Linked DNA regions of Oryctolagus cuniculus. The protein of the gene in region 1 purifies or fractionates together with the protein of each later gene. This does not show direct contact. Links are inferred from orthologs where the notes say so. Each region holds a gene or a part of one and is shown in the gene's direction. Other genes may lie near its edges.

What was found.
Region 2: the proteins of PRP4K (region 1) and RNPS1 purify together in Homo sapiens (co-immunoprecipitation; 4 studies listed by BioGRID and IntAct, with this or other methods). This does not show direct contact. The link is inferred for Oryctolagus cuniculus from reciprocal best matches to the Homo sapiens genes PRP4K and RNPS1.
Region 3: the proteins of PRP4K (region 1) and USP39 purify together in Homo sapiens (affinity purification with mass spectrometry; 3 studies listed by BioGRID and IntAct, with this or other methods). This does not show direct contact. The link is inferred for Oryctolagus cuniculus from reciprocal best matches to the Homo sapiens genes PRP4K and USP39.
Region 4: the proteins of PRP4K (region 1) and EFTUD2 purify together in Homo sapiens (affinity purification with mass spectrometry; 3 studies listed by BioGRID and IntAct, with this or other methods). This does not show direct contact. The link is inferred for Oryctolagus cuniculus from reciprocal best matches to the Homo sapiens genes PRP4K and EFTUD2.
Region 5: the proteins of PRP4K (region 1) and PRPF6 purify together in Homo sapiens (affinity purification with mass spectrometry; 3 studies listed by BioGRID and IntAct, with this or other methods). This does not show direct contact. The link is inferred for Oryctolagus cuniculus from reciprocal best matches to the Homo sapiens genes PRP4K and PRPF6.
Region 6: the proteins of PRP4K (region 1) and PNN purify together in Homo sapiens (affinity purification with mass spectrometry; 5 studies listed by BioGRID and IntAct, counting the BioPlex papers as one, with this or other methods). This does not show direct contact. The link is inferred for Oryctolagus cuniculus from reciprocal best matches to the Homo sapiens genes PRP4K and PNN.
Region 7: the proteins of PRP4K (region 1) and SART1 purify together in Homo sapiens (affinity purification with mass spectrometry; 3 studies listed by BioGRID and IntAct, with this or other methods). This does not show direct contact. The link is inferred for Oryctolagus cuniculus from reciprocal best matches to the Homo sapiens genes PRP4K and SART1.

The regions. Positions count from the first base shown.
Region 1 is NC_091436.1:166,254,011-166,257,510, reverse strand, and holds part of PRP4K (serine/threonine-protein kinase PRP4 homolog), read left to right. Parts: coding exon 1-4; intron 5-651; coding exon 652-805; intron 806-881; exon of another isoform or gene 882-1,028; intron 1,029-3,281; exon of another isoform or gene 3,282-3,405; intron 3,406-3,500. UniProt on the Homo sapiens protein: Serine/threonine kinase involved in spliceosomal assembly as well as mitosis and signaling regulation. Connects chromatin mediated regulation of transcription and pre-mRNA splicing.
Region 2 is NC_091450.1:33,008,794-33,012,993, forward strand, and holds the start of RNPS1 (RNA-binding protein with serine-rich domain 1), read left to right. Parts: upstream 1-1,400; 5' UTR 1,401-1,511; coding exon of another isoform or gene 1,512-1,513; intron 1,514-1,538; exon of another isoform or gene 1,539-1,976; intron 1,977-2,235; exon of another isoform or gene 2,236-3,687; intron 3,688-3,955; 5' UTR 3,956-4,071; coding exon 4,072-4,142; intron 4,143-4,200. UniProt on the Homo sapiens protein: Part of pre- and post-splicing multiprotein mRNP complexes. Auxiliary component of the splicing-dependent multiprotein exon junction complex (EJC) deposited at splice junction on mRNAs.
Region 3 is NC_091433.1:117,039,207-117,043,443, reverse strand, and holds the start of USP39 (ubiquitin carboxyl-terminal hydrolase 39), read left to right. Parts: upstream 1-1,437; 5' UTR 1,438-1,496; coding exon 1,497-1,764; intron 1,765-2,753; coding exon 2,754-2,823; intron 2,824-4,237. Other genes in the region: C2H2orf68 (UPF0561 protein C2orf68 homolog), read right to left, coding at 56-174, 254-360.
Region 4 is NC_091448.1:18,146,624-18,150,123, reverse strand, and holds part of EFTUD2 (116 kDa U5 small nuclear ribonucleoprotein component), read left to right. Parts: intron 1-2,090; 5' UTR 2,091-2,094; coding exon 2,095-2,199; intron 2,200-3,500. UniProt on the Homo sapiens protein: Required for pre-mRNA splicing as component of the spliceosome, including pre-catalytic, catalytic and post-catalytic spliceosomal complexes. Component of the U5 snRNP and the U4/U6-U5 tri-snRNP complex, a building block of the spliceosome.
Region 5 is NC_091442.1:205,102-209,271, reverse strand, and holds the start of PRPF6 (pre-mRNA-processing factor 6), read left to right. Parts: upstream 1-1,370; coding exon 1,371-1,711; exon of another isoform or gene 1,712-1,859; coding exon of another isoform or gene 1,860-1,882; intron 1,883-1,995; coding exon of another isoform or gene 1,996-2,136; intron 2,137-2,221; coding exon of another isoform or gene 2,222-2,393; intron 2,394-2,470; coding exon of another isoform or gene 2,471-2,652; intron 2,653-2,869; coding exon of another isoform or gene 2,870-2,935; intron 2,936-4,170. Other genes in the region: SAMD10 (sterile alpha motif domain-containing protein 10), read right to left, coding at 1,860-1,882, 1,996-2,136, 2,222-2,393, 2,471-2,652, 2,870-2,935. UniProt on the Homo sapiens protein: Involved in pre-mRNA splicing as component of the U4/U6-U5 tri-snRNP complex, one of the building blocks of the spliceosome.
Region 6 is NC_091443.1:36,472,375-36,476,416, reverse strand, and holds the start of PNN (pinin), read left to right. Parts: upstream 1-1,242; 5' UTR 1,243-1,686; coding exon 1,687-1,799; intron 1,800-2,451; coding exon 2,452-2,523; intron 2,524-2,930; coding exon 2,931-2,999; intron 3,000-3,453; coding exon 3,454-3,526; intron 3,527-3,639; coding exon 3,640-3,734; intron 3,735-3,883; coding exon 3,884-3,959; intron 3,960-4,042. UniProt on the Homo sapiens protein: Transcriptional activator binding to the E-box 1 core sequence of the E-cadherin promoter gene; the core-binding sequence is 5'CAGGTG-3'. Capable of reversing CTBP1-mediated transcription repression.
Region 7 is NC_091432.1:5,822,228-5,826,204, reverse strand, and holds the start of SART1 (U4/U6.U5 tri-snRNP-associated protein 1), read left to right. Parts: upstream 1-1,177; 5' UTR 1,178-1,243; coding exon 1,244-1,556; intron 1,557-2,733; coding exon 2,734-2,791; intron 2,792-3,977. Other genes in the region: TSGA10IP (testis-specific protein 10-interacting protein), read left to right, coding at 83-203. UniProt on the Homo sapiens protein: Plays a role in mRNA splicing as a component of the U4/U6-U5 tri-snRNP, one of the building blocks of the spliceosome. May also bind to DNA.

The DNA.
Region 1 (3,500 bases):
TCAGGTACAGAACTGAAAGTGGCTGCTTCGTCTCTCAGCCTCATTCTGAGTAAAAGCTGTGGCAAGTAGTCTGGGTGCTTATTAGTTTTGGCTGGTCAGTTTGCAGTTTGTTTGTGTTTGTTTTGACTGTTTTGTTTTCTGTGACTTGTGGTTGAGAGTTAGCATCTTCACAGTCAGGAATGTATAAACGTTAATTTATTGTAAACTCCTCATCAGCACTAACCTCACGTAGCCAGCAGGCCAGCAGCAGTGGTTCCTGAAAATTAAATACTTCAGAGAAGGATTAGGCCAGAGTGAAAGAAATAGGAGTGGGAGGGTTGAAACACAGCTTTTCTCTTCTGCATTATGGCCTCACTGTTGTGCTTTCAAATCTAAGCCCACTGTAACATAAAAATAGTTTCACCACACAGCTTCCTTGCGACTCATTTGGAACATTGATTTTCATTTGGAAATGGTGTTGTGTGCACAGTTTGATATGCTGTCATTTCAGCGTAGAGCAGCTTGTCAGGTGTTAAAGGAAGGGGTTTCTTGAACAGAGTATTTTCATTGTGAATCATTTTTGCAACTAATATTCGTGTTTAAAATTTTTTTTGTCTTTCATATTTCCATGTTGCATTTTAACACTATTTTGTTTTTGTTTTTTTCTAAAAGTATGAATTTACGAGAGGTGTTAAAAAAATATGGTAAGGATGTTGGTCTTCATATTAAAGCCGTCAGATCATACAGTCAGCAGTTGTTCCTGGCATTGAAACTCCTTAAAAGGTGTAACATTCTCCATGCGGATATCAAGCCGGACAATATCCTGGTGAGTCAGACCACCTGGCTGCCTTCTGCATCTGTGTCTCTTCTTACTAGCAATGTAATTATTACTCTCATTCCAGAAATGACATCTTTAAAGCACAGTTCAGTATACTAATCCATTACAAGCGGTTCCAATTTTGCCTTTTTTGGAAATGACCCATGGCATCCTAGAGAGAAGTAAGAAGAGGAAATTTTCCCCCCACTTTTGGTTGATGGATTGGTTCAGGGTATGCTCACGCCCAGGGGTGCTTTATACAGTGATAATGAGTTTCCTGTGGTATCTTAAAACACGTGCTGCATGGGGTGACGTTTCCAAATAAGAAGTGTCCGTGCTCCTTTGTTCTCTGATTCTATAACTCGTGGAATTAGGGGCATTTCAAGAGACTTAGCCTCTCTCCAGTAGATGTATGCAGTTGGCTTGAGAAAGCACTGAAGAGTAACTTTTCTGTTGTGCTCTTTTTCTCCCTTGGTCTTCATTGCTTTAGAAGCAGTGGCTCCTGGGGCCCAGACACTGAAGCTTGGTAATGCTGAGGCGTTGTACTGAAAGGCCGTCTTTTACCCTCTCCCCATAGTGACTTAGGATTCCATAGTGTTCATAGCATTTTTGAGATTTGGAAGCACACACCATGGTGGCATGATGAACACATGCACACCTTCCCTCCCCCCCCCCCCCCGACCCCCCATTTCTTTACCCTGTTCTGTGCCGGTCACAATTCACAACTTGGAGAATTTGAGCTCACCTGCCAGTCACATGTTTTGCATTTCATTTTTCTTAGAATGGATGCTTTATGTCAACACTCTGGTAGTTAATGCTTATGAGAGGTTCTTAGCAAAAGCCAAGCATGTAAAGTCTCTTTTGCTGGGAATTGTTTGAGCGATGACAAAATAAATTATTAAAAATATTGTGATCTTATTAAAATTTAAGATCTCTTTGGAGCCAGCATTGTGGTGCAGAGGGTTAGGCTGCTGCTTACAACCCTGGCATCCCATATTGGAGTGCTGGCTTGAACCCTGGCTACTTGGCTTCTGATCCAGCTTCCCGCTAATGTGCCTGGGAAGGCAGCAGATTCTTGGACCCCCTGCCACCCACAAGAGAACAGGGTGGAGCTCCTAGCTCCTGGCTTTGGCCCAGCCCAGCCCTGGCTGTGGTGGCCACTTGGGGAGTGAACCAGCAGATGGAACATCTCCCTATGTCTCCTTGTCACTCAACCTTTCAAATAAAACCTCTGGGGAAAATAATGAAGGACTCTTTATCAATAACTGAACTCTGTGATTCAGATTTCCCTTCTCTTTCTATGTCTTAAAATTTTCCTTCCAGACTACCATGTTAATAATGAGGTATATTCCTTTTTCATAGTTTGTGTTTATATTATATTGTATGTCTAATAGAACTAGGAGTAGGGGAGTTGAGTAATAGTGAAATGGGAGGTACATTATAAATGACTTAAGAGTTGCCTAGCCAACTTCATAGTTTTAAACATGATTTTTTTTTCTCTTTTTAAATTGGGAAATATATCATCCTTCTTCGGGATTTGCAAAAGGTACAGTGGGTATCTGTGTGACTGCTGTGGGAATTAAGTCTCATAAGCTCTTATTTCTAGCACTTCGTTTTTTTAATTTATTGCTAAATTAGTATAGATTTTCATATGGATTTCAGAAATGAAATGTTTTCCCTTCTTCCTGTGGAAAAGTAAACTTCAGAGAGCATGCGGAGCTGTTGGTTGTTAATCAAAACCCGAAGCTTCCAGGCTGTGGTTCCCCGTGGCGGTGGTGAAGTGCCACCTCTTTCCTGGGGAGTTGTGCAGCATGAAGCAGCGTGTGAGCCTGGAAACCGTCCTGGTGTCTTAAGGCCTTGTGGCAGGTCCCAAGAGTTTTTCCAGTAATCCAGCTTGTATTTTTTTTTTTTTAACATTGATTTATTTATTTGTGAGGGAGTTGTAGAAAGAGATCATCCATCCACTGGTTCACTCCCCAAAGGGCCTCAGTGGTTGGGGCTGGGTCATGCCTAAGCCAGGAGCCAGGAACTCCATCTGGGTCTCCCACATGGGTGGCAGGGACCCAAGCCTTGGACCCTCTTCCACTGCCTTCCCAGGCACATAAGCAGAGAGTTGGATTGGAAGCTGGGCAGCTGAGGTTTGAATCAAAGCTCCCGTATATGGGAGGTCAGCGTGCCAGGTGGCTGCCTAACCTGCTGCACCACAGTGCCAGCTACAGCTTTCTGCTTCTAACAAAGCTTCGAAGGAACTTTCACTCTAAGATAACTGCTTTCCTGACTCCCAGAATGAAGAGAATGGTAATTGATGTGACAGCTGAAAGTGGTCATTTCTGTTTACTGCTTAATTCCATGGGCATCTCTGGTGTTCCTTCAGTCTGTGACACTGACCTGCCCAGGGCTCTTTAAAGTGTTCAGTTTGTTTGGGGTGGGAACAGTAGGCCACGTTCAAGTCCCAACTCGGAATTTATGTGTGTCTCTTTTGAAGGGGGGCAGGGACTCTGGAATGTGACTTACCTTCACTTGTTAATCCTGAACCTGCTTCTGACTCATGAGTGGCAGCAGTCATGGGAGCAGCGCCAGCCTTGCTCAGCAGATGTCACTGTTACTGTGTATGTGGAAGTATTTACAAGGAAAGAGACAAACCGACTAATACAGACATCATTAGCCATTTTGCCAGATGTATTTATCATTTTTTGGACTAATA
Region 2 (4,200 bases), on another chromosome or scaffold:
GCATTACCAGGAAAGAAAAAAAAAAAAAACTCAGGGAGGGGGCTGTCACGGCTGGGGTCAGTGCAGTGGTCTCCCCCACTCCCCCGCACAGGCACAGGTTCTGAGGGGGCTGTCACGGCTGGGGTCAGTGCTGTGGTCTCCCCCACTCTCCCGCACAGGCACAGGTTCTGAGCCCGGGCCCTGGGGGCCAAGGCCTCCTCCAGACGGCCCATGGCCAACACCACCCCCGCCAGGGGCTGCCCTCCTCTGCCCCTGAAGGCGTGCAGAGAACTGAACCTCCCGCCTGTCCCTCGAATGTGTCCAGACTGGACGGGCTGCCAACCCCGCCCCAGGGCAGCACACGCCGGAGGCTTCTGTGCCCAACTCCCTGGACACCCCTCGGCCCCGGGTGAAGGGTGAGGGCAGGGTGACCCTCCTGGATGGGGAAGGGAGTCTCACGCGCCGGCAGACCCCGACCGCTGCCCCCCTCGGCCCCGGGTGAAGGGTGAGGGCAGGGGGACCCTCCTGGATGGGGAAGGGAGTCTCACGCGCCGCAGACCCCGACCGCTGCCCCCCTCGGCCCCGGGTGAAGGGTGAGGGCAGGGGGACCCTCCTGGATGGGGAAGGGAGTCTCACGTGCCGCAGACCCCGACCGCTGCCCCCCTCGGCCCCGGGTGAAGGGTGAGGGCAGGGGGACCCTCCTGGATGGGGGAGTCTCACGCGCCCGCAGACCCCGGCCGCTGCCCTCCTCGGCCGCAGGTGAAGGGTGAGGGCGGGGTGACCCTCCTGGATGGGGAAGGAGTCTCACGCGCCGGCAGACCCCGACCGCTCTAGCGCTCCCCCCACCCTCCCGCACCCGGGCTGCCTCTCCGACTGCCCGCTGGTTGCTTTCTGCAAGGCCCTGGCTTGCACCCGCTGCTCCCCCCAGCCCTCCTGGCTGCCAGCTGGGGCGAGGGCGCCGTCCTTCCTTCCGCAATCCCACAGAAGCCCCCTCCCCAGCCCTCCCCACTCGCCGCTCCTGCCAGGCGGCTCCGACCGCGCCTCCCGGGCCTTCGCGCCCGCCGCTCCCTCTGCAGCAGTGGGGTTTGACCGCACTAACCCACGTCCTGCGCCGGCCCATCCCTCCGAGCCCTCTAGGCCGGCCTTGGAGAGGCTACCGCCCAGAAGACCCCCGGGCGAGAAGACCCGCCGCCCCCAGTGCGCACGCGCTCGCAGAGGCGCGGCCTCGTCAGCCCCGTCCGTGCCGGCCCCGGGGCCCCGGCAAGTCGCCATGCCCGCTCCGGGAGCTCCGGAAAGGGGCTGCCCAGGGCCGAGAGCCCTCTTGACCGGGGAGACACAGCCAGCGACCCTCACGGCGCTCCCCACCCTCGTCCGCTGCCCCGAACGCTCCGCAGCTCGCGCCCATTGGCTGAGGCGTTTTCGTCATCGCTGTGCGCCGCACGGCGGCACGTTCCCGCGCCTTCGCTCTGACGACAGAAAAGCGCCGGCCTCGGCGGCTGAGGAGAGCGGGAGGAGGTGGCGGCGGCGGGAAGATGTAAGTTGGGGGCGGAATCCGACCGCATCCGAGCTGCAGGGGCCGCCCGCCAGGCCGGGAGGGTCGCATCGTGCAGCCAGCCGGCTTCTCAGCCCCGCGATGGCGCGGCGGCCGGGCGGCGCGGCACGGAACTCGGAAAGAAAGAATGTGGCCCGGGGCGGCGGAGTGGGAGGCGTCGAGGCCGCGGCCCGGAAGTGGTCGGGGCCGCCGCCGACGGAAGAGCCGCCCGGCTGGGTCCGCTCCGCGGCGGCGCTCCTGCGGGCTGGGGAGCCGGGCCCTCCCTGCGAGCGCGGGGGGCGGCGGGGCCGCTGTGTGGGACGCCCGGGAAGGCGGCGCGCGCTGCCCGAGGGGCGGCTCCAGCGCTGCCGGCGGGTCCCGGCGCCGTGGCGAGGTCGGGCCGGCGCGGCGCGGGGCCGCCTGCCGCCGTGCTGTTGGCGTGGACCGTGCGTGAGGCCCAGCTCCGGTGCGGGGAGGGGCCCCTTCTGCTCGAGACGTGACTAACTGTTCTCTCCTCTCTCTGGCTGTTGGACGCGCACCTTCCGGAGGACGGGGGCGGTCACCAAGGTCCCGCGCCGGGCCCTGGACTTGTGGACAGAGAACCTCAACCTTTGCTTTCTAGCTGCCGACCGCGCCCGGCAGAGCGAGCGCGCCCCCCGTGGCTCTTCGGTGTTCGTCCCGAGGACACCGGCGGGGCTCGTCCTCGGGCGGGGCGGGGCGGGGCGGGGGTCGCCGCCCTGGCCAGCGAGGTGGCCGCTGCTCACGGGGCCCGCGGCGCAGCCAGCCCGGGCTGGGGTTCAAAGGACGACTCGGAGGGGAAAACGGGAAATGCAGTTCCCGCTGGGTGTGGGGTGTCCAGTGTTTTCTAAGTGGATTTACCTGGTTTGTGACGGCGCTACAAGGCAGTTCCAGGTTACTCCTGGCGCGCTCGGTAGTGGCCGTGCTGCCCCGAGTGATCCCACGGTGGGGCCCACGGACACTGTTGAATTCAGGAATTGGGAGTGTGTGGAACTTCGGAAAATTCATGGAAAGGGGAGTTAAAAGATAGATTTTGGTGCAAAAAAATGAAACCTACGCATGTTCTTTGCAGATAGGTATTTTCCATGACCTTTCTGAGGCTCCCGGTGCGGGGAGGAGAGCCTCTGGAAACAGCCCTTTTCATGTTACTTCTGTTGGGCCTCAACCAGGTGCGGGGTCTGTTTCGTGAGTTCATTGGTTACTGCCTTTGAAAATGCTGGAAGGGGGGTTGTTGTCACCGCATTGCTGGTAACAAACTGGCGACCAGAGGCCTTAGAGAGGACAGTGGCTGCTGAGGGTCCACAGCGAGGCCGGGGCTCTTGGCTGAGTTACACCCAGGGGTTGTCCCAGGACACCAGCCTGACCGGGTGTCCGTGGTCCCTTATGGTTTGGAGGCAGCCATTCTGAAGAGGGCAGCCTTGGCAAGGAGCTGCCCGGGGATCCTCTGCCCTCTGCCGCTCGTTGGAGTGTCCACAGCCGGCCCTCGTATTTCCTGGGTCAGAACGTGGATCGGCATCACGTGGAAGCGCCTGCCCAGCTGCGGGGCTGCGGCCGCGCGGTGTGCGGTGGGATGAGCAGCCGCGCCTGCTCACAGGTCACGCGGTTGTGCAGAACCTCGTGGAAAGCCTGGGTGAGAGATGAGCGGTTTTGAGTAACTGGTTAACGTGACTGCTCACCGTGTGCTGGCGTCAGGCACCTGGCCAGCCCTTAAATGAAGTGGAGCATCTCGCCCAGTTTCAAGTGTCAGCTTCCCCCCGCACACACACTTGCGTCTTTTTAAAAGTTCTAACCATACAGAAAAATTGAAGTAATGTTTAATGCTCAGTAGCCACCACTGGGGCTCTGCGGTCCCTCTGTTGGGTTTCTTGGCGCGTGTGGAGCCACCATCTCGTTTTTTCTTTAAATCACAGCCTCGTGCGAATCTTTCCCCCTGCACACGTCGTGCTTAGCACTACAGTTTGCTATTGACAACTTGAGAATCGCTTTCACTACTCTCTAAGTGTTCGTGCTTGGGTAGTAAATGTTTTGGTGCTGATACCAACCACTTCTGAAACGATGTTTGTCTCCAGTCGTAATCCAGTGTGTCCTGGAGGGGAACCACAGCAGAGACGAGGCCTGATCCGCCAGCCACACTCGCGTTAGGCTTCCCTGTCCTCCTCGTGAGTGTGCTGCTGAGGGCCCGTCACCCTTAACGAAACTCTAGGATAAAGCGACGGGGACCACCCGCCGCCTCAGGGAGGAGCTGGGTGCCGGCTTGACCTGTGCCCCGTGGGGAAGTGGTGGCTGCCCCGCATGCCCTGGTCCTGTGGGTACCTGCTGCTTGCTGTGTTCCTGACTGCCTTCGTGTGTGCTCAGCTTTGTACTGCAAAGTTAATTTGTTGCCTTGCCAATTCGTTCACTCTCTACATCCTTTTATCTTGTTATTAGGCTGCTCTTTGGCGTAAATTGCAATCGATTAGGGACCGTTTCTCAGAGTCGAGTTAGAAGTGAGAGCTCAGATAAGTGAGGCCGCCATTGCCGCTTTGAACACCTCAGAAGGGAGGATGGATTTATCAGGAGTGAAAAAGAAGAGCTTGCTAGGAGTCAAAGAAAATAATAAAAAGTCCAGCACTAGGTAATCCTCCTGCCAGATTTTTCTAGTGCTACATCGGGGGTGCTCACCGCTAGGGACC
Region 3 (4,237 bases), on another chromosome or scaffold:
ACGTGGAAGGGAAGAGCGCGTAGGCTGGAGGAGACGGCGGGGCGGGTGGCCTCACCTCGATGTCGCGGCAGGTACACCTGCAGGTCGGGCTTGCGGGGCCGCGTCGGCGCAGGCGTGTGCCGCCTCCTCACCTTCTCCTTGGCCGCCTGCTTCACCTTCTTGTCGTAGTCGTCCCTGCGGGGAGCCGAGCGGGAGTCAGGGACAGCCGGCCGGGCCAGGCCAAGGGTGGCGGTGGCGCGGGGCGGGGAGGTACCGGGCGATCTGGTTCCGTCGGATGTGGTGCACGAAGCCGTGGCTCATGTCCAGCCGCCCGCCAGGCTTGCAGCAGAGCCTGGGCCCGGGATCCCGGGCCGCCTCCATCTGGAGCCCTGGGCGCAGAGTCGCCGCCACCTCAACGGCCCCAACGGCCGCCCTCCCGCCGGTGGAGGCCCGAGCCAGCCCGCGCTCAGCTTCCGGCCGGGAGTCCCGACTTCCGGCCGCGGGAGGGCTGGCGGGACCGAGCGCCGCGGCGCGCGGAGTTCGCGGCGCCGACAGGGTGGAGGCGGGGCTGTTTTGTGTCATCAAAAGGAAACAAGGACTTCGGCTTACAGTTGGTACATCAAAAAATTTCAGAAAAAAAGGCACATCTACTAACGCCTGTGAACACTACTCGCACCAGCTGCGTGAACTGAGCTGACCCCGCCGTGCCTCAGTTTCCTCACCTGTAAATGGGAACACGGAGAGCACCTTTCTCAAATAAGCTGTGTAGGCGACCAGGTGCTGGGGCAGGCTACGGCTCCGCGAAGACTCGCCCGGCCCTCCCCTGCCCTGCTCTAGTCGCTCAGTACCAGCCCCAGGGTTTTTGAGCTCCGGACCGCCCAGGACAGGCTCACTCGGGTTGAGGCCGGACAGGACCCCTAGATCGTGGCGATGTCACGGTGCATCCACGTGGGAACGGAGCGAACCGAGCGCGTTAAACGTGCAGGTCCTTGTGGGTCAGCTATACCCCCAATGTAAACAAACCAACAAGCAAACAAGGTAATAGCAGGCTCCTAGGTTAGAGCTTTATTGGCCTTAGCATTTTGCTGACAGCTAGAACCCTCTAGTTGTGGAATCAGGGTTGCCACGTTGCCGCACGGGCTTTATCGCCTTGTTTTCCCGTGCAGGGCCGTCAGTCTCAGAGGAGCCAGGACTGGGGGAGACGACATCCCGAGGCGCTAAGTATCTCGTGCGAGTTATAAAACCGTATAGGCAGGAAAAAGTTCAGGTTATTTTAGGCTGAAAATGATAGGTAAAGAGGAAATTAGCCCACAAAACGTTCCCAGAAGCGCACGGAGCCTAAGGATGCCAGGAATGAAGCGACTCCGCCCACAATTTTCTGTAGCGCCATAGATTTGTCCCCGTTGGCGACCCGTAGGGAGCTTTGCGGGCTCCACCGGCCCCGCCCCTGATTGGCTGCGCGTCGCGCATTTGCGCGTGCCTGGCGCCTGCGCTGGACGATCTCTCCGGTAGTGGAGATGTCTGCCCGGTCCAAGCGGGAGTCCCGTGGTTCCACCCGCGGGAAGCGCGAGTCCGAGTCCCGAAGCAGCTCGGGTCGTGTCAAGCGAGAGCGAGATCGGGAGCGGGAGCCGGAGGCGGCGAGCTCCCGCGGCAGCCCGGTTCGCGTGAAGCGGGAGGTCGAGCCGGCGAGCGCGCGCGAGGCCTCGGCGGCCGCCGTCCCGGTGGTGCGGATTAAACGGGAGCGCGATGCGGACGAGGACTCGGAGCCCGAGCGGGAGGTGCGAGGTGCGCGAGGCCGGGCTGGGCAGGGCGCGAGCCCCACCTTCGCCATCTCCGTTTTGTCTTTGACTTTCTGCTACTTCCCCGCCTGGATGGGGGAGGGGGATACAGATGTTCCGATGAAGGCAGTGTTAGTAACCGTAGTTATTTGAGTATTTCTGATAGCAGCAGCAGCAACACTTTTCCCATAAGCCCTCAGCTGTAGGATCCTGCTGTAATTTGCAGTCTGGTGTTGGGAGACTTCTCCATCGGCTTCCCGCGTCTCTGCGCACACAGCGACCAGAGGCTGGCTCGTCAAAGGTGTTCCTATAGTGAACAGTCTGGGAGGGCAGAGGTGCCGTTTCCCAGTAGAGCGAAGGAGGTGGCCAGCACACAGCCCCGTTTAAAAAAGGAGTTAGGATCTCCAGCCTCAGGATTCTGCCCCTCTCGGGCAGCGCACTGTGCGTGGGTTCTTAATGTTGCCTTGTGAGAGCTGACGAAGGGAATGGATAGCAAGGCTGTCTTTTGGCTGCTGCTATTACTGCTGTAACAGACTCCTTTGTTTCAGACCCAATAGTTGGGGGTCTTCCATTAGCATCCACGAAACTGCCAGACTAACTCCCTAGCCTGCAAATAGAGTAAAACCTTATAGTTCTTGGCAAGTGTTAGATTGAAGGGCATTCATTTATGCTATTTAAATTGTTCGTGGATGTTACATTCAGTTTATCTTGTAACCTGTGATATGTTTCATATCTCTCATGCTTCATGGAATTCTTTATGTAATAGATTAGTGGATTTTTGTTTATACGTGTACCAAATATATTCTCCTAGTTTGAGGCTTATTCCACTAGCAGACATTTTTTTGGTTGCTGTTGCTCTCTGAAAGGAGTTTATGTTAATGGGGAGCTCATCTTGATGGATTGCGTGCTAGTGTGTCTTCAGTTGTGTCTTCCTTCTGTGTTTGGCCTTGAGTACTGGTTTCTCATTTTCAAAGCCTGTGGTGATTTTCCTTTTAGCGAAGAATGGCCGCGTGGATTCTGAGGACCGGAGGAGCCGCCACTGCCCGTACCTGGATACCATTAACAGGTCAGTAGGGTAAAGACACCAGAGGTAGCAGAACAGTGGAGGAGCCAGTCTTTTAGCTTAGTGGTTAAGACACAGGTTAAGGGGCTGGTGTTGTGGTGTGGCAGATAAAGCCCTGATTTCATGCTGGGATCCTAAATGGGCAGCTCAACTTCTGATCCAGCTCCCATATGGGATGCCGGTACTGCAGGCAGCGGGTCTACCGCTGCATCACAGCGCCGGCCCCTTCAATTAATTTTTTTAAGGGGCCGGCGCTGTGGCTAAGCAGCTTAACATCCTGGCCTGGAGTGCCGGCATCCCATATGGACACCGGTTTGAGACCCTACTGCTCCACTTCCAGTCCAGCTCTCTGCCATGGCCTGGGAAAGCAGTAGAAAATGGCCCAAGTGCTTGGGCCCCTGCACCCATGTGGGAGATCCGGAGGAAGCTCCTGGCTCCTGGCTTCTGATCAACGCAGCTCTGGCTGTTGCGGCCAATTGGGGAGTGAACCACTGGATGGAGGACCTCTCTTTCTCTGCCTCTCCTCTCTCTGTGTAACTGACTTTCAAATAAATAAAAAATAAATAAATAAAATTTTTAAACATTTTTTTGGCCTAATCTTTGTTTGAAAGGCAAAGAAAGGGAGACAGAGAGAGAGAGAGAGAGAGAGTGAGAGAGTGAGAGAGAGGTATTTTCTACCTGTTGATTCATTCCTTAAATGCCCACAACTAGGGCTGGCCGGGCCAAAGTCAGGAGCTCAGTTGGTGTCTCCCGCATGGGTGTACTTGAGCTGTTTGTCATGTGTTGCTTCCCAGGGTTTGAATTAGCAGGAAGCTGGAATTGGAAGTAGAGCCGGGACTCAAACTCAGTGTTCTGATATGGCTGTGAGCGACCCACGTGATGTCTTAACTGCTGTACCAAGTATCTGCTCCAATGTTCATAAACAATTTCTGTTTGTTTATTTGAGAGGCAGAGAGTGCCCGTGTGTAGGTTAACTCCTTAAATGCCTGGCTGGGAGCCAGGGACTCAGTCCAGGTCACCCACATGGGTGGTAGGGACCTAGCTACTTGAGCCTTTAGTAGTAAAGGCTGCCTCCCAGGATGTACATTAACAGGAAGCTAGGATCCAGAGTGGAGCCAGGACTTGAACTTGTTCTTCATTTAAACTGGTAGAATACGTGTTGTAGAAACGTCAGAGAGCATGTTGTTTAAGGGTGGGCATATGCATGAAGAGCTCTTAGCTCATGTTGAGTTTGTGTGTTGTAATAATTTGTAGTAGCAAATTTAAGTATTTATTGAGTACCGATTACATACGCGGTACTTTTCTGGGTGCCTAGGACTCAGTAGGAAGATAACAAAAATTTTCTTGAAAGCAGAAATAGTCACCTCGTTATGCTATTTTTTTCACTGAGTCGGAGGTGGCATGTTGGATACCTTCC
Region 4 (3,500 bases), on another chromosome or scaffold:
GCCATCCTCCACTGCCTTCCCGGGCCATAGCAGAGAGCTGGCCTGGAAGAGGGGCAACCGGGACAGAATCCGGCGCCCCGACCGGGACTAGAACCCGGTGTGCCAGTGCCGCAAGGCGGAGGATTAGCCTAGTGAGCCACGGCGCCGGCCTGAATTATTCTTATTTTAAAAATTATTTAAAAGTCAGATACAGATACCTCCCATCTTCTGATTCACTCTCCCAAGTGCCTGCAATAGCTGGAGCTGGTCCAAGCCAAAGCCACAGAGCAAGGAAACCAAACTGGGCCTCCCTGCCAGGGTGCTCATTAATAGGAAGCTGGAATTTGAACCCAGGAACTTTGCTTTGGGATGCAGGATCCTAAGCAACATTGTAATGCTCTGCCAAATGTGTGTGTGTGTGTGTGTGTGTTGAAAGGCAAGAGTGACAGAAAAGTAGAAGCAGAGAGAGAGATCTCTCATTCAGTGGCTCACTCCCCCACTGTACTGGACCAAAGCCAGGAGGCAGGAGCTCCAGCTGGACCTCCCCCACAGGTGACAGAAACTCCAGTACTTGAGTGAGCATCTGCTGCCTTCCAGGTGCGTTAGCAGCAAGCTGGATTGGAAGCGGAGGGGGACTCTATCCCAGACGTCTCCAGCAGCAGCATAGCCACTGCACCACAGTGCCACCCCATCCGTTTTCATGTTTGTGTTTGAGGGGCAGAGAGAGAGAAGGAGCTCCCGTCTACTTTTTCACTCCACAGGTGCCTGCAGTGGCCAGGCCAAGGCCCGTGTGTGGCAGGAACCCAGTTACCTGGGCTGTAGCCTTGGCCTCTCAGGGCCTACATTGGCTGGAGGCTGAAGTAAAGAGGCAGAGGCAGGTGTGGAGCCCCAGCACTTCTGTCGTCTTACCTGCTAGCCCCAACGCCTGCCTCTTGAACTATTGAGTAGTTTCTATCTTTGAAGTAGAGAAAACCTACAAAGTAGTAATTACAGTGGAAAAGGAGGAACTCTATAATGGAAAAACTTGCCGATACTTCCTTAATCAAGAATCAAAGTTAATATCATCACAAATGGGACAAATTGAAGTCACAGACCACCCGATAGGAGATGCGTTGAGAAAAACACAGCAGCATTGCTGTGGCACTCCTGCCGAAAGGGCAGAGCCTGCGTATACTCCTGCGGAAACATCCCGCAAGCCCAAGTGAGGGGACAGTCTGCAAAATCACTGCTTCTAAGCTTCAGCAGTGTTAAGTCATAGAAGCCAAGGCCAGACTGAAGAACTGGGACAGGCTGAAAGAGAGGTTGACAGGGCAACTCCAAGAAAATGTGTGATCCTGGCTCGGAGCCTTGGCTGTGCAGGGTACTGCGGTGGCCCACTTGTAAAACCTGAGTGAACTCTGTGGTTTAGGTGGTAGTAATGGGTCCATAGTAATTTTATGCTTTGGATGACTGTACTGTGGTATGTAGGAGATGTCCTTGTTTGTGGAGGTCACACACGCTGAGACAGTGGTTGGCAAGCTTTCTGTTAAGGGCCAGAGAATATTTTAGGCTTTGTGGACCGTATGGTCTCATTTCCAGCTCCTCAACTTTGCTGTTGCAGTGTGAAAGCAGCTACATGTGCATGAACATGCCTGTGTTCCAGTGGAACTTTATAGACACTGAACTTGAATGTCATTAATTAATGTGTTATGAACTGTTTTAACTTGAAGAAAAGCATTCTTCACTTGGGGCAATGCAAAAGCAGGTGGAGGGGCCAGAGTTGGCCACGGGCCAGTTTGCCAGTTCCTGTCCTGAAGTATTACAGGGTGGTGGGATGTTGTGTCAGCAGGCTGCTCTCAGTAAGTTAGGCAACGGGAAGTTATTTGTACTGGCACTTTTGGTATTATATTATTTTAGAATCTTTTTCAGTATTAAAGAAGAGGAAGGAACAGTGTTTAAGTAGTAATGCCAAGTAGGCCAGAGAGGTGGGGAAAGTACTGGACTTTGGGGGGTGCAGTCGAGAGCTGGATATAACTGGAGAGGAGGTGTGTGCAGGGGTCTGGTGGACCATGAAGCCAGGAGACGGGGACTATGTTGTCAGTCTTCACTCTTCTCTTCTTTTTGAATTTTAGCACCATGGATACTGACTTGTATGATGAGTTTGGAAATTATATTGGACCCGAGCTTGATTCTGATGAAGATGACGATGAATTGGGCAGAGAGACCAAAGATCTTGATGAGGTAAAAAAAATATATTGGGTTCTTTTGTCTGTCTCTTTAAATTTTATTTATGTATTTATTTATTTGAAGATACTTCTCATCCATTGGTTCACTCTCCAGATGACCGTAGCAGCTAGGGATGGGCCAGGCTGAAGCTAGGAGCTGTAAACCCAGTGTGAGTCTCCCATGTGAGTAGCAGGGACCCAGTTACTTGGGCCATCATTTGCTGCCTCCCAGAATGCACATTAGCAGGAAGCAGGAATTGGAAGTGAAATTGGGATTCAAACCCAGGCACCCCGAAGTGGGATGTGAGCATCCCAAGTGTTTTTTAGTCACTGTGCCGAAAGCTTACTCTGTCTCTCTCTCTCTTTAAGATTTATGTATTTTATTAGGCCAGTGCTGCGGCTCACTAGGCTAATCCTCCGCCTTGCGGCACCAGCACACTGGGTTCTAGTCCCGGCCGGGGCGCCGGATTCTGTCCCGGTTGCCCCTCTTCCAGGCCAGCTCTCTGCTGTGGCCAGGGAAGTGCAGTGGAGGATGGCCCAAGTGCTTGGTCTTCACCCCATGGGAGACCAGGAGAAGCACCTGGCTCCTGGCTTTGGATCAGTGCAGTGTGCCAGCCGTGGCGGCCATTGGAGGGTGAACCAACGGCAAAAGGAAGACCTTTCTCCCTGTCTCTCTCTCTCACTGTCCACTCTGCCTGTCAAAAAAAAAAAAAAAAAAAAAAAAAGATTTATGTATTTTATTTGAAAGAGTTACAGTTAGAGAGAAAGGGAGAGACAGAGACTGAGAGATCTTCCATCTGGTTCACTCCCCAAATAGTCACTATGGCTGGATCTGTGCTGATCTGAAGCCAGGAGCTTCTTCTAGGTCTTCCACATGGGTGCAGGGGCCCAAGCACTTGGGCCATCTTCTACTGCTTTCCGAGGCCATAGCAGGGAGCTGGATCAGAGGTGGAGCAGCTGGGGCTTAAACCAGCACCCCTATGGAATGCCGCTGCCCGTATGCCATATGGGAGGCTTAACCTACTACACCACAGTGCCAGCCCCTGCCCTTCTCTTTTTAAAATTAACAGTAAAGTGCTGAATCCTTTCTCTTCCCTTTATACCCTGTGTACATCTCTAACATTGTCCTTTTTATAGCATGATTTATTGGGGTCTTATACTGCCCCTGAGGTAGCTTAGCTACTAAAGTTCCAAAAGGGGGTATCAGATCATTTCATGGATGAGGTCATTTTGTCTTCTGAGTTCTAGTTCGTCTGGTAACATGCCTTCTTCTCTTAGGCTTAAGTGCCTTTTGGCAGTCATGAATAATTCTGACTT
Region 5 (4,170 bases), on another chromosome or scaffold:
CCAAGGCCCTGCCCCCTCCCTGACGCAGCCATCCTGCAGGGCTGGGAGAGAGGAACCCTGGGGTGGACCCTGTGTGGGCCACAGCGTCCACAGGCTTCTGCTGTGTGTGCTGCTGCATCTGCTGAGTTTCAGACGCCCCAGGAAAGCTCATGGACCTCTGCACCCCGTTGGACACTGCTGCGCGGGAGGTAGAGACAGGTGCATAGCCCTCTCTCAGGCCCTCTGCTTCAGCACCCCCTGCCCAGCCTGGGGGCAGAACTCAGGTTCACCAGGACCTCGGGGGAGGGGCTGGCCTGGGTCCCCTGGGGCGAGACTTCATTGCCAGTGCCTGCCCAGGGCTGGCGAATGAACGGCCCGGTGCCCTCGTGTGCCTGGGTGGCCATACCGTGAGGCTGGGGTGTTGTGTCCCGACCCTGCCCTGTGTGGGAGGCTGGAGCCCCGACCCTACAGGGGAGGCCTTCTTTGGAGGAGGGTTGCACACAGAGTCCCTGCCTGGGGAGATGAGAGGGAGCCAGGGCCAACAGGCAGGCACCAGAAACCCGAAGGGGCTTGGAGGCCCCACTGGGGTTGGCCTCTGGCCTCAGAGAAGGCAAAGGCCCCATCCCGGGACAGCAGCCCCAGGACCCCCCGTGGGGCGCCCCGGCTGTGGCCTCCGCCTTGGGGGAGGCCTCTTCAGAACGCAGCTCCACTGCCCCCTGGTGGCGCGGCCTGCAGGCAGCCAGGCATGCCGCCCCCCCCCCCCACACCCAGTGCAGCAGGCACTTGAGAACCACGTTTATTTGTTTGTTTTTTTCTTCTCTTTGTCAGAGTATAAAAAAGTGAACGCAAGACAAGACAAGACAGGGGCACGGGGTGGGCAAGACAGAGGCAGGAGGATGGGTGGCGGCAGGAAGGGCTCCCTGGGGAAAGACCTATAGCACAGGGTGGTCGGGGACAGGGACACGGGCAGCTGGGGGTCATGGCACAGGACGGAGGTGCCAGGCCAGTTTTCCGAATGCCACTCGGGACCTGCGGCTGCGATGACCAACCTCGCACCCAAGGCCGGCTCAGGGCACACAGAGGGGCTGGGCTCAGCCTCATCTGTCCCTGAGAGAGCCCGGGGGGGGGGGGAGTGGGAGAGGGCTGCCCTGCACCCAGGGAGGGGATGCTCTGGCGTCTGTGGGCAGATGTGGGGCCGAGGCCCTTGGGACAGCCTCTCCTGTGAATCCAGATCTTCCCGGGAGAGTGACAACGGAAAATGTCTGTGCCACTGACCCGGGCAGAAGATGCTGGATCGCAATAGTCCCCCAGGCACCGGCTGAGGAGCAGCACTGAGCCCAGGCCCCTGCGTGAGGTCACCTCATTGGGTGGCTTCGTCTTCACGGGTGTGGATGCCCCCTGGCCTCAGTTCTCACGGACTCGGAGCAGGGAGCCAGCTTCAGCATGCGCTGGGTGTGGCAGCCAGCCGCTGGGTTCTGATGACCATTCCTCTGGGCCGTGAGTTGGGCCTGCCGGGCCCTGGCAGGGACAGGAGGGGCACCGAGCTAGGAGGGCTGAGGAGTTCATCCCAGCTGGGTGGCAGACGGGTCAGTGCTGTGACGCTGCAGGCACCTGGCCATCTCTGGCTCGAGAGAGCTGCTGCACACGCGGCCAGCAGCACGTGCTCTGGTCCCAGGAGGAAGGGCGCCCAACCCCGATGCGGCGTGGAGTGCCCACCCAGAAGCACCTGGAGGTGAGCGTCCTGGTCCCGCCTGTCCACAGAACTGGGCTCTGCTGCCCAGGCGTCCACAGGGTCCGGGAGCTGAGCCGCCAGCACCATTTCGTCCCTGGCCACGGGCTCCAGTCACAGTGCTGGTCTGGGGTTTGAGCCTCAGCAGCAGCTAGGACATGTTTCCGAAGGAAGCTGCGGGGTAGATGGGGGCGAATGGGGGTGGACCCTTCCCGGGCCCCTCCAGCCAGTCTCCTGAGATCCTTCAGAGACCCCTCCCAGCCCCGCCCCCAGCCTCTCCCACAGACCTTGGCTGAGCAGCTGCAGGCTCCGCCCCTCCTCGCGCACCTGCAGGTGCAGCACCTGCTGTAGCACCTCCTGCCTCTGGGCCTCCTGCGCCAGCCCCATGCGTTGCAGCTTCTCCGCATTCAGCCGCAGCAGTGCCCGGCCTGCAGGGAGAGGGGCGGACAAGCTGAGGCCCACAGGGACACTCGGGACTCACCCAGGGGCGCGGGAGGGCAGCAGCCGGCGTACCGGTGATGGCGTGTTGGGAGAAGGCCTCGACATAGACGAGGTAGTTGTGGGGACAGTGCTTCTTGAGCCACTTGCACACGTCCTGCTGAGTCCACAGCACCACGGGCCGCGTCAGGCCGCCCAGCGGGGGGCTGGTGTGGTACAGGCCGTAGTGGTCCGAGTACAGCTGGCCCTGCAGGGAGAGGAGGGTGGTGGGCGCAGTGAGGGTGGCGTAGTGGGCGCGGGGGGCGGGGGCGGGCGGCGGGGTACCTGGGGGGCCTCTGTGCCTGGCTGCTGCAGGAGCTTGATGGGTCTGCTGCCGCACGCCCTCTGGCTGCGGGGGTCGTGCCACGTGAGGCTGGTGCCCGGCGTTCGAGGCAGGTGGCAGGGGATGCTCTCGGCGGACACCGTGTGCTCCAGGACGGTCCGGCAGAAGCTGAAGTGGGCGGTGGCTGTGTGCGGGGGCCCTGGTCAGGCTCCTGAGAGGCAGCTCCCCTGTCGTGCCCGTCTCCTCCCCACCCCTGAGGGGAGTCACATCCCCAAGCCCCCCCCCCCCCGGCAGGAGTCCAGAGACTGGAGGCACCACGCCTCCTACCTGCAGAGGACCCACACTCCAGGGAGCCAGGCAAGGGGCGGCAGGGGCGGCAGGGGCAGCCTTGAGCTATACACCTTGCCTAGGGCTGGCCTCTGAGCCTCCCGCATGCAGCACAGGACCTGCATATGCACACACGGGACCTGGGCATACACACACAGGATTAGTGCACACACACACGAGACCCGTGTACACACACACATAGTACCTGTGCACACATACACATGGGACCAGAGCACACACACGGGACCTGGACACACACATACACACAGGATCAGTGTGCACACACACAAGACTTGCATGTACACACACGAGACCTGCACATACACACATGGCACCAGGGCACATAAACAGAACCTGTGCACACACACACAGGATCTTCATTCACATACATGGGATCTGGGCACACACACAAGGACCTGTGCACACACACTGGACCTACAGGCACTCACATGGGACCTGGGCACACACACAGGACCTGCAAACACACATATGGGACCCATGCACACACACACTGGACCTACAGGCACTCACATGGGACCTGTGTGCGTGTGTGCATACGTATGGGACCTGTGCACACACACATGGGACCTGCAGGCACACACACAGGACCTGTGCACACACACTGGACCTACAGGCACTCACATGGGACCTGTGCACACATACATGGGACCTGCAGGCACACACACAGGACCTGTGCACACACATGAGACCTATAGGCACGCATATGGGACCTGTGCACACACATAGGACCTGCAAACACACACACTGGATCTACATGCACACACACACAGGACCTGTGCACACACACACAGGACCTGTGTGCACACACACGGGACCTGCAGGCACACACATGGGACCCACATGCACACACACAGGACTTGCAGACACACATATGGGACCTGTGCATACACAGGACGCACACACACACAGGACCTGCAGACACACATATGGGATCTGTGCACACACATGGGACCTGTGCACACACATGGGACCTGGGCACACACAAGGGACCCACACACACACACACACACACAGGACCTGCCTTTGCAGAGGGCAGGCCCTGCCTGCTGGGCAGCCTTTGCAGGGAGACGGTCCCACTGAAGTCGCCCTGGCCCGAAACACTGTGTCCACAGCCCTGCCCCATGTCCCTCCTGACGGCCTGCCCTGGCAAATCCTCCCGCACCACAAGCTGGGCCCAGGACAGCACCTGGTGCTTAGCACAGGGGTGCAGCCATTGCCCAGAGACCCCAGTGACGCCCCTTCCTCCCTGCTCCTTCAGCCTGTTTCCCGGTGCTGGTACCCCCGGGGCAGGCAGCGGCTCCGCGGACCCTCTCCCATCCCGGTGGGATCCCGGCTGCTGTCAGGTCGCGGTGCA
Region 6 (4,042 bases), on another chromosome or scaffold:
TGAAAGGTAGATTTACCGAGAGAGAAAGAGAGAGAAAGAGAGAGAGAGAGAGAAAGGTCTTCCTTCTATTCTTTCACTCCTCAGATGGCTGCAACCGCTGGAGCTGCGCCAATCCGAAACCAGGAGATTCTTCTGGGTCTCCCACGCGTTTGCAGGGGCCCAAGGACTTGGGCCATCTTCTACTGCTATCCCAGGCCACAGCTGAGGACTGGATCGGAAGCGGAGCAGCGCCCATATGGGATGCCAGCGCTGCAGGCGGAGGATTAATTTACTGCGCCACAGCGCCGGCCCCTCTGTAACACTTCTAACACTCCACATAATTTACTTTTGTTTATAATCTGTTTCCACACCTTTCCTCCCTGCAAGCTCCTTTAGAGACCTCTGCTGCTCACCACTTTATCCAAAGTGCCTAGAACAGTGTCTGGCTCACAGTAGACACTCAATGGTGGATCCAAAGATCTTTGCTCCTTTAGGAGCTACCCATTCCACAAAAGCAGGAGCCACAGCTAACTTGTTTTAGGAAATTCGCCCCCCCCCCACACCCCCAGTCTAGCTTACTGCTGATACACAGTGATCGTTTTAAAGGATAGATCCTGAAATAAAATGGTAGCTCTAGTTAAATATAGTCGCCCTGCTAATGTTTAGTGCAAGGAGGATGGCTGGCTGAGATTATTCAAGTGGTTTCCGTGGGGAAATGTTTTCTGACCTACGCTTTATACTACATTTTTTTCAAACAAAATCAGTTCATACGTTGGCGGTGCAGGCAGAGTAGAACCAGAGGCCAGTTCTCTCTCTCACATACACACACCAACAATAATGGGGACACCACAGACTGGGTCTTAAACCAGCAGGCTGTAGACTAGGCGAAGGTGCTCAGTCAGTCGTGCCTGCGTCGACTTTTTTCTTCTCGTCGTCGGTTTTTTCTTTTAATAAAGCCTGGCACCGGGTCTGATCGGATGGCGACTTCTGGCATGACCTAGGGGCAGTATTCCTTATCAGTATTAACTGGTACTGTTTCAAAGCGCTTGGTGGTGAGGAACAAGGCACGTAAAGTTTCACACGGCGTCCAGAACCAGACCAGCTCGATACAGCTGTCAGTTCTTAGGAGTATGACGTTTCTTATTCTTCATCTTTCACTCTGCTTCCCCCTACTCACTTTAACCTAATGGAGGGAAGCAGACGCCCACTCCACCTCCGGGCATGCGCACCAACCATTTGGCCACGCCCTTTCTTAATTAGATTATTGATCCGGGTGCGAGACGGAGGAGAAGCCGACTGGCCTCCGTCCCACCCTGGTGGGATTTTGTCGTTAAAACGATATAACGTACGTCACACCACAGGTTAAAAGGGCTGAACAGCCCAGCGCTCTCCGCCAGAACTGCAGGTCTGCGAGTACGTCCCCGAGGACACACGTCTCTCTCAAGCCCGCCCTGACTCTGCGCTAGAAGCGGGACCCAGCCACCCGCAGGAAACTGGGGAGGGAGGCGACCGCCTGGCTGACTTTTCATTGGTCCAGAGCCACAAAGATTGGCAGTGTCTCCCCTTTCCAGTCTCTGAGTGGTTGAGACCAAAAATCAACGCCGCTCGTCATTGGCTGAATCCGGCTGTCAGTCCTTTCAGGTCTCGCGGCGCGGCGCAGCGCGGCGCGGCCTGTAGAGCAGTCTTGAAGCCTGCTGCAGGGAGAAAATGGCGGTCGCAGTGAGAACTTTGCAGGAGCAGCTAGAAAAGGCCAAAGAGAGCCTAAAGAACGTAGATGAGAATATCCGCAAGCTCACCGGGCGAGATCCCAATGACGTGAGGTAGGAAGCGGACGGGAACTGCGGGCTCGGAGAGGCAGCCAGCAAGTCAGGGTGAATTGGGGGCGGGGAGAGCGGCCAGCCCTGAGAAGGCAGGAACATCGAGGCCTGTTCCCGGGCGGCGGTAGATTCCCGTCCTCCCTGATTTGGGGAGGCCCCAGCCCCGCCGTAGCGCGCCTCGTTGCGCCGGCATGATGTCCCGGCTTGTGAGATGGGCTGGACTGGAGATTCCCGCCCTCAGCCCCGCGGGCCCCGGAACTGCAGTACAAAGCCCCTTCCCGCTGCGGCGGCCGCCCTCCCTGCCCGGGGTTGGCCCCAGACCCTCCGGGCCGTGCCCACCGCCTCGCTCCCAGCCCTTGCCCACGTGCGTCTAACTCCGGGATGGCGCCATGGGGACCCGGTCCTGGCTTGGTAACGAGTGGTGGCATCGAGGTAAACATAATTTCTGAGATAATGGTCTCGAGAAAAACGAGGAAGTTAAATGAAATAGGACTCCCTGCCCCGTTTCAAACGTGTGGCTTTTAAACCGTCTTAGAATTTTGGGGAAGTTATTATTATTATTTTTTTTTTATGATCTAACACAGGTAGGAAGGGATTTGGTGCCGTTAGATTGGTCTTCCTGTAATTTTTGTACTGACGAGTAAATCCCTTCCAGGCCCATCCAAGCCAGGTTGCTGGCCCTTTCTGGTCCTGGTGGAGGTAGAGGACGTGGTAATTTATTGCTGAGGTAAGATTCCCTTACGCTTTTACTAGTGTTAAAGGCTAACTAAATTAATACACTGTTTGAACAAAACCTGTGTTGGAGCCAGTGTTAGAGTAACGTGGTATTCTCTGTCTCTCCATCTCTGTGTAACTGTCTTTCAAAATAATTAAAATACATCTTAAAAAAGAACAACACAGTATTTGCATTTAATGTTGTAATCAGCTAGTTTTCTATGTAACTAGCTATTCTGAAGCTTCATTTATATGTAAGAGGTTGGAGAATTTTGTGCAACTTTCTTGTATTTTTTCGTGAAGTATTTTGGAGTGAATCCCACTTAACATAACTTTAACTGAAAGAATTTTTAAAAATCAAATTGCGTTCTCTTGTATCTCGTGTTTCAAGTGCTTTCTGTTGAACAATTTTAATTGCAGGCGTGGATTCTCAGATAGTGGAGGAGGACCCCCAGCCAAACAGAGAGACCTTGAAGGGGCAGTCAGTAGGTAGGTTTGAAAGATTCTTAAGTACACAAAAATAAGTATTTCATGAATATTGTTTTGTTGCATTAGAATTGACTAGTATCCACTTTCCCTAAAGCTTGCCATGGTATTTGACTGAACTGAGATAACCAGTGTTCCTCAAAATTCAGTTCTTTGCTCAAGGTGATCCAGTTTTTATCAGACTAAGGTCATAAGAAGTCCATTTGTACCGTATTTTTATGTCCTGTACTTAAAGAACTTAAATAGCCTAAGAAATAATTTATATGTCATAGGAGTTCAGAGTTTGGGCATTAGTTGACACGTTTTATCCTTTCTTTGCCAGAGGAAAAAGTAAATGGGATGGAGACTGCTAAATGAGTTTTCTGGGAAAGAGACCTAGCAACAGTAGGCATTTGCCTTGCTATGCATTTACATCAAATTCTGCAGTGGTTATTTAAATTACTTTTTGCCATGACAGGCTGGGCGGGGAGCGTCGGACAAGAAGAGAATCACGCCAAGAAAGCGACCCAGAGGATGATGATGTTAAAAAGGTACTGAGATTAAAAGAACTTAATAGAGAGTGAATGGAATATTTATACTCTGTGTTTAAAAGCATGGCACTCATATACTAGTTAGATTAATAAGATTTTCTTTTCGCCTACAGCCAGCGTTGCAGTCTTCAGTTGTAGCTACCTCCAAAGAGCGTACACGTAGAGACCTTATCCAGGATCAAAATATGGATGAAAAGGGAAAGCAAAGGTATCTTTAGAATTCTTTTGGGGAAACTAATCTGTCAAATCCTGCAATTTAAAAAATGTGAAGGGATTATTCAACTGTCTGCAGTATCAGAAAATGGCAGATTTAAATGTACAGCCTGTTAAAATGGGATTTTCTTTTTCTATTCTTAGGAACCGACGAATATTTGGCTTGTTGATGGGCACCCTTCAAAAATTTAAACAGGAATCCACTGTTGCCACTGAAAGGGTATTTATGGTTTTTGTTTTGCTTTATCAAAATGGTTGATTAATGTTTTTTGAAAAGAACTTAAAAACTCTTCTAAAACTTCA
Region 7 (3,977 bases), on another chromosome or scaffold:
GCACGGGAAGCCAGGACGGCTGCCGGGCTGGGACGCACGTGGGAGTGGGAGCTGTGCTCAGCGGCCGCTGTCTGTCTTTAAGGAGCCACAGGTCCGCGGAGACGAGCAGGCAGAGCCCAAGGATGGAGCCCCCCGGAGGCCAGCCTGACAGGCACCTGACCCCCAGCGTGGACCTGGCGAGCGGTCCCCGAGATAAAAATTAAAGGTTTTGTGGCAAACTCAGCGTGGGGGTCTGTGGTGGTGGTGGGGAAGCCGCCAGTGGGAAGGATTGGCTCTGTCCCCACAGCCCTGGCCCTGCTCCCCAGTGGACGTCTCGAAGAGCAATGGCCGTTTCTCTCTATTCCATCTCCCCCATATGTCCTGGGGCCAGTTCACGAGTGACCAGGGCACAACGGACGCGGCCTTTAAGGCTACTTCCCTGAGCAGCTCACAGCAGAGGTTCAAAAACAAGGCCAGCACCGGCACCCCGGGTTCTAGTCTCGGTCGGGGTGCCAGATTCTCTCCCGGTTGCTCCTCTTCCAGGCCAGCTCTCTGCTGTGGCCCGGGAGTGCAGTGGAGGATGGCCCAAGTGCTTGGGCCCTGCACCCGCATGGGAGACCAGGAGAAGCACCTGGCTCCTGGCTTTGGATCGGCGCAGCACGCTGGCCGTAGTGGCCATTTGAGGGGTGACCCAACAGAAGGAAGACCTTTCTCTCTGTCTCTCTCTCACTGTCTAACTCTGCCTGTCCAAAAAAAAAAAAAAAAAAAAAAAAAAAAAAAAAAAAATCCAGCTCAGCTCAGCTCAGGGACCCGTGCAAAGGCAGCGCTCGCTGCTTACAGCGCCCAGAGGCTGGGCTGCCCGATGGGGCCGAGATCCCCGGAGTCCACTGGAATGGACCACCTGCCCAGGGCCGGCCCTGAGGGGCTTCCAGCTCCGGGGCGCTGGCTTAGATGGCCTCTAGGTCCCTAACATTCTGCGATCCCGTCTCCTCCAAGCTAATCCTGCGCCCGTAAGGGGCGCGCGCAGCGGGAAAGCCAGCGAGCTGAGCGCCGCTCGGCCCAGGGCTGGCCGCCAGAGCCCCGTCGGGATCCGAGCCCGTCCCCGCCTTCCCATGAGCCTCCGGGGCAAGCGCCAACGCGCACGCCGGAAGCGGCCGCTCTTGGTTTCCGGCAACAGGACAGCGGCTGCCGTGCGACCCGGAAGTGTTCCCATTTTGCGTCGTCGGGGCTCGGCGGCTGCCCGGCTCCAGGCGGACGGACCACCATGGGGTCGTCAAAGAAGCACCGTGGGGAGAAGGAGGCCGCCGGGACGACGGCGGCGGCCAGCACTGGGGGCGCCGCCGAGCAGCCGCCGCGCCATCGGGAGCACAAGAAGCACAAACACCGGAGTGGAGGCGGCGGCAGCAGCGGCGGCGAACGACGGAAGCGGAGCCGGGAGCGCGGGAGCGAGCGCGGGAGCGGGCGGCGCGGGGCCGAGGCCGAGGCCCGTAGCAGTGCGCACGGGCGGGATCGCAGCCAGGCCGAGCCCTCGGAGCGGCGCGTGAAGCGGGAGAAGCGCGATGACGGCTACGAGGCCGGTGAGGGGCGGGGCGGGGCCCCGGGAGCCCGGCAGTGTCCGCGGTGCTGCCCGGGGCTCTGGGCTCAGCAGTGAGCAGAGCCCCCGACCGGCCATTCGGGCCTGGGCTCGGCTTTGTCCGCTCAGCCCCGTGAGCACGCAGGTTCTCGTTTTGCGGGGTTCCGTGTTGGGTGGACGGAAGCGTGCGGTCTCAGCAGGTGGCTCGCTGGCGCGCGGCGCGCGTGGGGTTCGTGGTGGAGACCCCAGGCAGTGAGGCATGAGGTCGTGGCCAGAGGTCGGCAGGAGGGCTGGCGGGGGAGGGAAGCTGCCCCTGCGAGGAGGGAGTACCGGGACCCGGTGGTTGGGGGAGGGTGACAGAGGCGGGCAGGGGGTGATGCCCTGGGCTCTGAGAGTGCGTGGGGGCACCGAGAGGGTCTAGGAAGCCCCGGAAGCCCCCTGCGAGGGTGTGGCCAGCGGCGGGGCCAGGGCTTGGGGAGTGCTGGGGTTTTAGTAGCGGGCCCAGGAAGATGCCACAGAGGAGATGAGTCGCCCAAGGGTCGGGGACACCCGGAAGGCTCGTGTCGGGGTGCGTGGGGCGAGAGTGTGCTAGGAGGAGGGGGTGACACGAGGCGGGGGCCGGGGTGCAGGAGGCAGCTGTGGGGTAGAGGGGGAGGGTGGGGGGTGCGGGGAGGGCCGGCTCACGGTGCCCAGCTCCCTCCTCTCCGGGGTTCACCTGGGGCTGGAGGAGGCCCCAAATGCTTTGCGCCTGAGCCCCACATGCAGCGCAGAACAGACACTGTTTGCTCCTGACCGCCTGGGTGGCACCCGGGACACGGCCGCGTTGCGGCACCACCCCCGCCCCGTGGGGGCGGCCAGACCCCGACATGACTGCCCGTGCCGCAGCGTCAGGGCTGGTTGGTCTTGCCCTCGGTTACGATGTGGCCGGGGCAGGGGCAGGGGCACAGGGGATAGAGAAGCAGAGAGGGCAGAGGGAGGGAGGGAGGCAGGACGTGGCCGTCTTGGGTGAGGAGGGGACGTAGGAGCAGAGCTCTGGGAGCCCGCCGGGCCGCTGCCTTCTGCCGGCTGATAGACCCTGGGGCACGTCCGAGCTAGCGGGGCCGGCTCCTTGGCCCGGCAGCCCCCGAGCCCCGCAGCCCCGCAGCCCCACAGCCCCTGAGCCCCGCCGCTTGTCGTTCCAGCTGCCGGCTCCAAAACCAGCTCCGGAGATGCCTCATCTCTCAGCATCGAGGAGACCAAGTGAGAGCCCTGCGTCTGCCGCAGCCCTGGGCGGGCAGGGGCTCCCCCCCAGGGTGGGCAGGGGCTCTCCCCCTGGGCGGGCAGGGGCTCTCTCCCAGGGCGGGCAGGGGCTCTCTCTCAGGGCGGGCAGGGGCTCTCCCAGGGTGGGCAGGGGCTCTCTCCCTGGGCGGGCAGGGGGCTCTCTCCCAGGGCGGGCAGGGGCTCCCCTAGGGCGGGCAGGGGCTCTCTCCCAGGGTGGGCAGGGGCTCGCTCTCAGGGCGGGCAGGGGCTCTCTCTGGGCAGGCAGGGGTGCCCCCGGGCGGGCAGGGGGCTCTCTCCCAGGGCGGGCAGGGGCTCTCCTCCTGGGTGGGCAGGGGCTCTCTCCCAGGGCGGGCAGGGGGCTCCCCCTGGGCAGGCAGGGGCTCTCCCAGGGCGGGCAGGGGCTCTCCCAGGGTGGGCAGGGGCTCTCTCCCAGGGCGGGCAGGGGGATCTCTCCCAGGGCGGGCAGGGGCTCTCCCAGGGCGGGCAGGGGCTCTCTCCCAGGGCGGGCAGGGGGCTCTCTCCCAGGGTGGGCAGGGGCTCTCTCCCAGGGTGGGCAGGGGCTCTCTCCCAGGGCGGGCAGGGGCTCTCTCCCAGGGCGGGCAGGGGCTCTCCCAGGGTGGGCAGGGGCTCTCTCCCTGGGCGGGCAGGGGGCTCTCTCCCAGGGCGGGCAGGGGCTCCCCTAGGGCGGGCAGGGGCTCTCTCCCAGGGCGGGCAGGGGCTCCCTCCCAGGGCGGGCAGGGGCTCTCTCTGGGCAGGCAGGGGTGCCCCTGGGCGGGCAGGGGGCTCTCTCCCAGGGTGGGCAGGGGCTCTCTCCCAGGGCGGGCAGGGGCTCCCCCAGGGTGGGCAGGGGCTCTCTCCCAGGGTGGGCAGGGGCTCTCTCCCAGGGCGGGCAGGGGCTCCCTCCCAGGGCGGGCAGGGGCTCTCTCCCAGGTCGGGCAGGGGCTCTCTCCCAGGGCGGGCAGGGGGCTCTCTCCCAGGGTGGGCAAGGGCTCTCCCCCCGGGCGGGCAGGGGCTCTCTCCCAGGGCGGGCAGGGGCTCCCCCAGGGTGGGCAAGGGCTCTCCCCCCGGGCGGGCAGGGGCTCTCTGCCCGAGCTGACTGCTGGGAGAGTGTGGGGTCACCCAAGGGCCAGAGGGAGGTGGCGCTCACTGGTTGGGGCAGCCAGGC